Sus scrofa: one gene and its partner. The protein of the gene in region 2 purifies or fractionates together with the protein of the main gene of each other region. This does not show direct contact. Links are inferred from orthologs where the notes say so. Each region holds a gene or a part of one and is shown on either strand. Other genes may lie near its edges.

Region 1 (4,298 bases), on a different chromosome or scaffold from region 2:
TTATTGGACAACATTTTCCAAGTATCCAGAAGAATCCTTGGCAGATAAAGGTGACCTCTTTCTACCAATACTTTCGACACCAACACCAGTTGTCAACTTTCTGCTTTGCAGACAGAGAAACACCAAGTATCAGAGTAAGAAAACGCTCAAAATGAGTCAGAATGGGAAATCGAGACTTAATCTTCTATCATTCCTGAGTCTAAGTAAAGGGAAGAACGCACTTACCGATGCCCATATGCCTGCCCTTCCGGCGGGCCAGGGTGTTTTTCCGGCATCGAGCCCGGGAATGGACAGTCACAGGCTTCCGGATGATCAGCCCATCTTTGATCAGCTTCCGGATCTGCTGACCTGGGAAACCACAATGTATCTGGTCAGTCACCTGGGGGCTGCCTGGCCTCAAGCACAGCAGTCACAAGCCAGGGCACAAACAAGAGGCCAGAGATACCACTCACATCCCTGGTTTCAAAAGCAGTAGAAATAGGGGAACCTCTGTTTCTTAAAATACATAAGAATTTCATCCATCGAGAGTATTTTATAGCAAACTCTCTCTATATTTGGGGAGGGGTGATTAAAATAGTATACAAATACAGCCTAGTCCTTCAAATCCTGTCTCAGCTGTTAGCTACCAGCCTAAAATAAGGTGAGGAAGTTTTGAACACCCATTACACCACCACAAACCCAAACAGGTTAAAAATTTCTCTGATGGTGACAAAGATTCCTGCTTGACCCAACCTTTGTCAGGTTTCCAAGCCTTCTAGGCCCATCCTTACAGTTCCTTGTAAATTCTCATTTTGGAAAGAACCCCGCTTAAGTTAGTTAACCAGAAACCCCTATCGTGATTTCAGGAAGAATCCTTTTTTTTAGGTCAGTTTAGTCAGAATCCCCCTTACCTGTTTCTTCATAGTAATTTTCCTCCCACTGACCCCTACACTGTGCTCCTTGGCTGTCAATCCCTAGTTGCTCATGCTACCTTCTGATTTGAGCCCAATCTCTCCCCCTCACTGTAAAATCCCACTGCACTGGTCCCCGGAGAACTATTTCAATGGTCCTGAATAAAATCTGCCTTGCCATCATCCCCCCCCCCCAAATATGGCTGCTCCCATGGCATATGGAAGTTCCCGGGCCAGAGACCAAACCTGAGCCGCAGCTGTAACTTATGGCATAGCTGTGGCAATGCGGGTTAAGACCCGCTGTGCTACAGCAGGAACCCTATTTATGGAAGTACTGTGGTATGCTAATGTTATCTGCAGGACTGACACTGTCTAACTACTTTGAGTAATTATGTACAAACATGCCTCTGTTCTGAGGCCCAGGCCTTCCCAATTCATCCCTAACCCCCAGTACTCCAGTTTGCTTCTTCACAAACCCTTCATATAGCTATACAACAGAACATCCATTCTAACCGTATTTACTAATATAACACTGGGTAGTTCCATTAACCTCCATTCTCTCATTCTGGCAAATGGCAGGAAGAGAAGAACCCCTGGCATTTCCTATTTCTTTGATTCCTTCCATTTCCTAAGGATGCCCACCCCCCAATGTCCGACTTATGAGCTCTCCTAAATCTGCACATTCAAGTTAACACAATTGTGCCACCTTTCATCCCTCAAGGGTTGAGCAGGTGATAGGGCAAAGAAAGGTCGCAGAACCCAAGAACTCACGGGAGTTGGCGTTGGCGATTTCATTAGTCTCATTGGGGTCCAACCAGACTTTCTTTTTGCCACAGCGGAGGACACTGGAGGCAAGCCTCTTCTGAAGCCTGAGCATACTGTAACAAACAGAAAACACTATCAGGCCCTGGAAACCATTCCTGGGCAAGGAGCATCCCCAGCAAGACCTGCCCTCCAAAGCCTTCTAATGTGAAATATACCACAGGATATGGATGTATGTGCATTTAGTACTAAGGACAAACATGTCTCTCCCGCCCCAGGCTTTTGCCACCCACAATGGCACCTCCAAATTAAAAATCTCCCCTGTATCCAGATTTTTGTTAATGCCTTGGCAACTACCCATCCCATAATGTAGACAAAGCCCAAGCTATATCTTGACGTATTTGCGCCTCAGTTTTCTCCTCTGGAAAATAAGATGAACGGATGAAATTGAAATTTATAGAGGGAGCTAATACTCTGACATGCACCAGTGAAAATGAATTTATTTAACGCGAAGAATCTGAGGCCAGCGGAGCCGATTCGCTAGTCAGTCTTCTGATTCCTGGGCTCGTTTTTCTCATCTTATCACAGTAATATACTAGCCTTAAGGATTTTCTTATGATGGCTCCACCGAATAAAAGGCATCAAAGAACCAGGGATTGCTTCATCCCGGACAGTCGGAGGCTCGAGACCTACGCGAGGCCCCGTCCTACGTCACATGCAAGCAGACATGGGCTCGGAGCCACAGATTGACCCAGCGAGTAAGGAAGCCATAGCCCGGTTCCCGCCACCGCCTCTCTTCTGCCCGCAGGAGTAGCCTCGGACACGTGTGGGGCGCAGGGCTCGCCCTTCCTCCTGCGTAAGAGTGCCCAGGACGCTCTCCCACCCCCATCCTCTCCAGGCCAAGAGCTAGTGTGCTCCGGCCTACCCTAAGCTCCAAGGCCGGCCGCTTCAGGGCCGTCTCCACCTCAACTCTCCCACCAGGGGCTGAGGTATCGAGCCGTCGAGTGCCCTGGCAGCCGGAATCAACCAAAATCGGAGACCCTGGAGCCCTTACCTCATGGCTGCTGCCGCAGCGGCGAAAGGAAAGAACTTGCTCTCGCCAGGCTCCTCCCATTATCTGTGCAGGGGAGAGCTCATCCCTGGCTCCGCTTTCGCCCGTATTCCCCTCCAGTCTTTTCATCTTCTGCCACCATAAACGTACTTATATCTTCTGTAAAGATCCGGGATACTCGAAGCCTAATATCAGAAATCGGTTTTAAACTTAAAAACATAGAAAATATACCCCTTCGGCATGGCAAAGTGGTATAGTCCGACTTCCTATTAGGCATGCGTGGCAAGGGTGTCTGGTCACGTGGATGGCGGAAGCCGGAAGTCAGCTGGGTTGCGCAGGCGGGTTGAGGGAATTTTGCTAGAGTGGCCCGTTTCTCGCAGTCGCGTTGGGTTCTTTGGGTGTTTTATTGGCGCGGGGCGGGTGTGGAAGGTGAAGCAAGAGGGAATAATGAGGGCGGATTTCAGACAAAAGCAGCCCTGTATTCACTCTCTTAATTATTGGGAGACCCTGGAGGTCAGAATAAACCACCAAAGATACTAGCTGATGTTTTTGCACCCCTATGGTCCTTGATCTCTTAGTGCCTCAGTTTCCTTCTCCGTATAGTGTACGTGATATATCCGTTGTTCAGTTGTGAAAATCGCATGAGTTAACGTTTGCAGCTTGCGAAGGCAGGCATTAAGACCAGCTCCTCTTTAAAAATAAATAAGTAAAAAGGCATGCTCCTTATGACAGGAACCAGTCTTTTGTTTGGCTCATACTGTATGCCGGCAGCCATGGAGCTTTGCACATAGTAAGCACTTGAGAAATAAGGAGCGAATGAATAGCTGTGAAAGTCTTAAACCTGGTTGCTAGAACCTCTCATAGTTCTTTCCTCTTGCTCTGGAGTTCCCAATGCAAAAACCTAAGGAAGTGCAACTAGAGATTATCGTACTAAGTCAGAAAGACAAAAACCTTATAATATCACTCATATGTGGAATCTAAAATATGGCACAAATGGGAGATCCCCATTGTGGCTCAGTATCCATGGGGACGCTGGTTAGATCCCTGGCCTCACTCAGTGGGTTAGGGATACAGTGTTGCCGAGAGCTGTGGTGTAGGTCCCAGTCCGCGCTCAGATCTGGTGTTGCTGTAGCTGTGATGTAGACTGGTGGCAGCTGCAGCTCAGATTCCACCGGAGCCTGGGAATCTCCACATGCCACAGGTAGAGACCATAAAAAAAGCAAAATAAATAAATAAAATATAGTGCAAATGAATCTATCTACAAAACAGAGACTCACAGAAAACAGACTTGTGGTTGCCACGGGGCGGGGGGTGGGGGGAATGGACTAGGAGTTTGGAATTAGTAGATGCAAACCATGGCATTTAGAATGGATAAACAAGGCGTTTCCGTCTTGGCTCAGAAGAAACGAATCTGACTAGTATCCATGAGGATGCAGGTTCCATCCCTAGACTCGCTCAGTGGGTTAAGGATCCATCTGGCATTACTGTGAACTGCGGATCAGATCTTGCATTGCTGAGGCTGTGGTGTAGGCCCCCCGCTTCAATTCTGATTGGATCCCTAGCCTGAGAACCTCCATATGCTGCGGATGCAGCCC
Region 2 (3,322 bases):
GAATTGCAAGAGAGGGGCAGCGAACTCCGGAAGTGGGCGGAGGCTGCCCCCAAAGCCTCTTGGAATTTGTAGTCTGCGGCACCTGGAGGTCCCGGAGGTGGGGACCCACCATGACACTCTCAGCCTCCTCCCCAGGGTCCCAATCTTAGGTTTCAGCATATCTAAGCTATTCCACACTAGCTGCTTGAATTATCTTTGAACTGACAACCCAGACTCTTCTTCGAACACTTCCCGTGACTCCTCATTACCCCAAGGGTTCAGTCCCACCTCCTCGGCCCCATATCCTGGGCCCCTCCAGCCAAATTCGTCCACCTTTTATGCTGACCCCTCTCTAGTCCCTCCTTCCTTCGGCCCTCCCACACCCTGCCATCTCTTCCTGGAAGCCTTCCCTGTGTTCTTCCCAATGCCAAGTCGGGTGCTTCCTCATGGCCCCATAGCCCTCACCACCCTCTTACCAGCCCTGACTCCACTATGTCCAAACTGCCTGCGTACGAATCTACCTCCCAACTCCTCACCAGCCTGACAGCCTGGACAGAACAAGGATTTATTGAGGAAGTACTCCTCAGGTTACTAAGGGGAAGTTAGTATTATTACTCCAGCAACAACACAGCAAGGGAGAAACGAGCACCTGATTTTGTAGAAGCCAGATAAGCCTCAGAGAGTTAAGGTCTTGCTCAAAGTCACATAGCCCATCCCCAAGGGGCAGGTGGTTGGGTTCATATCCCTCCCAACTCTCCACAAGCCTTCCTAGAACCGTGGGAATCACGACATTTTACAACACAAGTGAAAATGTGAACATTTATTAGACTTTCAATGACTAAAAGAACTGATAACTTTTTTTCAGCTGTGAAAAGTTTTGTGAATATGTATTAAAGAGCCCTTATCTTGAAGAGGTGCCTTCTGAAATATTTACAGAATAATCTGACGCCTGAGATTTGCATCTCAGGAGGGGGCAGGATGGGTTGTGGGTAATTGGTCACTAGACTGTTGCGTTAAGTTCGAAATTCTTCCTAATTCAAAAGCGTAAAAAAGCACCGGGCAAGGTCTGACTTCCACTCCTTTTTCCAGTATAATACCAGATTTCTTCCCCTGGGCCAATGTGAGGGATATTCATGTCCGTCCGAATCCCAGTCGTCCTGCTCTCCAGCTCTCCACAAAAACAGCCACAGGCTAAGCGAGGGAAATGATTTAATGAGGGGTCCAGGCGGCAGCGTCGCCCTTCTCAATGGCTCAATGATTTTCGGCCCTTGTGCATGCGACGAAGAATGACTTGGACCCCGGTTGGCGTTCTCAAGCGCCGGACCCAACCATGCTTGTGCTTGCGTTTGATGTTACTCGGCTGATACTCGTTCCCGCGCGCCTTGCCCCGGGTCTGCTGCATGGCGGGGAGTCCCCATGTATCCGGGAACCCCAGCCAGGCCTGGGGCTGGAGCCACCTGCCCGGTCAGAGAAAAAGCGAGAAAGGTCAGAAAAGATTGCTGTGTGACTGCTGCGTGGCGCTCAACCTCGAGTTCGCAAGGCATTGGAAGGAAGGTCATGTCGTTGGTAAATAGCTGGGGTCAGCCCCTCGACTCCGCTCTTACTCCCAGATTTGGGAAGGGGACCCACTGAGGACTCACCTGCCACCTACTAGCGCCGCTGACCTACTGACGGGGTCCAAGAGGCGACCCACGGATCTAGCCAAGAAAGCCATGTCCAGCCGCCGGCACTCCGTCCAGTGGCAGCTATTCCGAAACCCGTAGGTTCCGCAGCTGCGAACGAGGACTTCTGGGAGTTGTAGTTTTTCCTACAGCGGAGCCTTCCTTGCCGCGGGGGCCTCCCGGAATTGTAGTTCTACGTCTGCGCGCCCACACCTTAGGCGTGAGCGTCCTTGCACACAGGCGCATGTAATTTTTCAGATGGACCAGCAGGTGGCAGGAGAACGGCGCCTCCTCAGCAGACGCTTGCGTACAGAGCATTAAGTCCCCGGGTCTGCTAGGAGTTGTAGTTTCTTTTCCTGCAGACCCGAGGAGGGTACACTTGGGTGACGGTGGCGCAGCTGGTGGCAGCCTCAGGAGACGGCTGGTTGAATTTCCCACCCCCAGCGGGAGCCAGGCAGATGGCACACAGCTGGCTGGCAGCTTTCCTTTAGCCCCAGCCAAGTCTCTGCCTCTTGGCTGTGAGCCCAGGCGGTCTGAGTTCAAGTTGGCCGTATGTCCTTGGGTGGTTATTCAGTTTCTCAATCTGTAAAACCCAAGGGTTGCAAGCTTGCCCTTGGTCGTACCCCCATTCAGACCTTAGGAGAAAATTTCTAGTATTCATATATGAACCCTTTCCCTTCTCACATACCATCTCTGGCTCCCCATAGTCCCCGGGAAAATATCCAGCTCCACTGCCAGGCATTTGAAGCCCACTCTCCTCTCGACAGACATACACACACATCCTAAATTTCAGCTATACCCTCCTCTGGCTGGTGCTCTCCTATTCATCTTTTAAAAATCCTCCTCAGATACTCCCCTTTCTCCAGACTTGCCCCTCCCTCTGGCTCAACACTGCCCCCCCAACCCCAGTTCTCCCCAGACTCTCCCTGAAGCTGAGGGGGTCCTCAAGAGCCAGACTTGCAGGCACCCCAGCATCCTCCCCGCTTGGAGAGGGGGAGGGGAATTTTTTTTTCTGGATGAATAAACTGTAGTCTCCCAGGAGCACCCTGAGTGGGCAAGAGTGGGTGGCTGGACCTAATCCAACTCTGGCAGCAAATTCCAGGGAATAGGACTGGGCAAGGGATGCTTAACCCCTTGTCCTCTGAAGCCCATCCTACCTGAACCACCATTTTGCAAACCTCTGCAATACTACACCAGTACAATAATAACACCAGTAATGTATGAAGCACTTTCCCTGCTGAGTGTTTTACCTGCATAGCAAATTTATGAGGGGATTAATTTCATAGAGAAATAAGTGGAGTCTCAGGAAAGGGGTTTGCCCAAGGTCACATATCAGCAAAAGGCAGAGGCTGGACCATGGCCTCTCTGACTCCAGCTGGGACCACAGCTCCCAGTTAAATTGGCCACCAGTTGGCCTATCTGTGAAATTCCAATTCCCTATTTACCCAAAGCTCCAAGACATCTGTTTAATGATTTAACGAATAACAATTTGCAGGAGTTGGAATCACAAAGCCGTGGTTCCAAGTCCCATCTCTGCCCCTCATCTTGCCTTGTAAACTTGTGCCCTTTATGCACCTCGGTTTCCCCGACTGAAATTGCAAGGATCTGGAACATTGTATATTGGAAAGGTTATAGCACAGGGAGAGGGGTATGGGGGCTCCGTTTGAAGGGCAGCTTGAAGG

Evidence for each region.
Region 1: the proteins of MRPL34 (region 2) and RPL19 purify together in Homo sapiens (co-immunoprecipitation; 3 studies listed by BioGRID and IntAct, with this or other methods). This does not show direct contact. The link is inferred for Sus scrofa from reciprocal best matches to the Homo sapiens genes MRPL34 and RPL19.

The regions. Positions count from the first base shown.
Region 1 is NC_010454.4:23,031,484-23,035,781, forward strand, and holds the start of RPL19 (60S ribosomal protein L19), read right to left. Parts: upstream 2,855-4,298; 5' UTR 2,712-2,854; coding exon 2,707-2,711; intron 1,769-2,706; coding exon 1,662-1,768; intron 349-1,661; coding exon 226-348; intron 1-225.
Region 2 is NC_010444.4:60,377,120-60,380,441, forward strand, and holds MRPL34 (39S ribosomal protein L34, mitochondrial), read right to left. Parts: upstream 1,849-3,322; 5' UTR 1,694-1,848; coding exon 1,620-1,693; intron 1,437-1,619; coding exon 1,223-1,436; 3' UTR 785-1,222; downstream 1-784.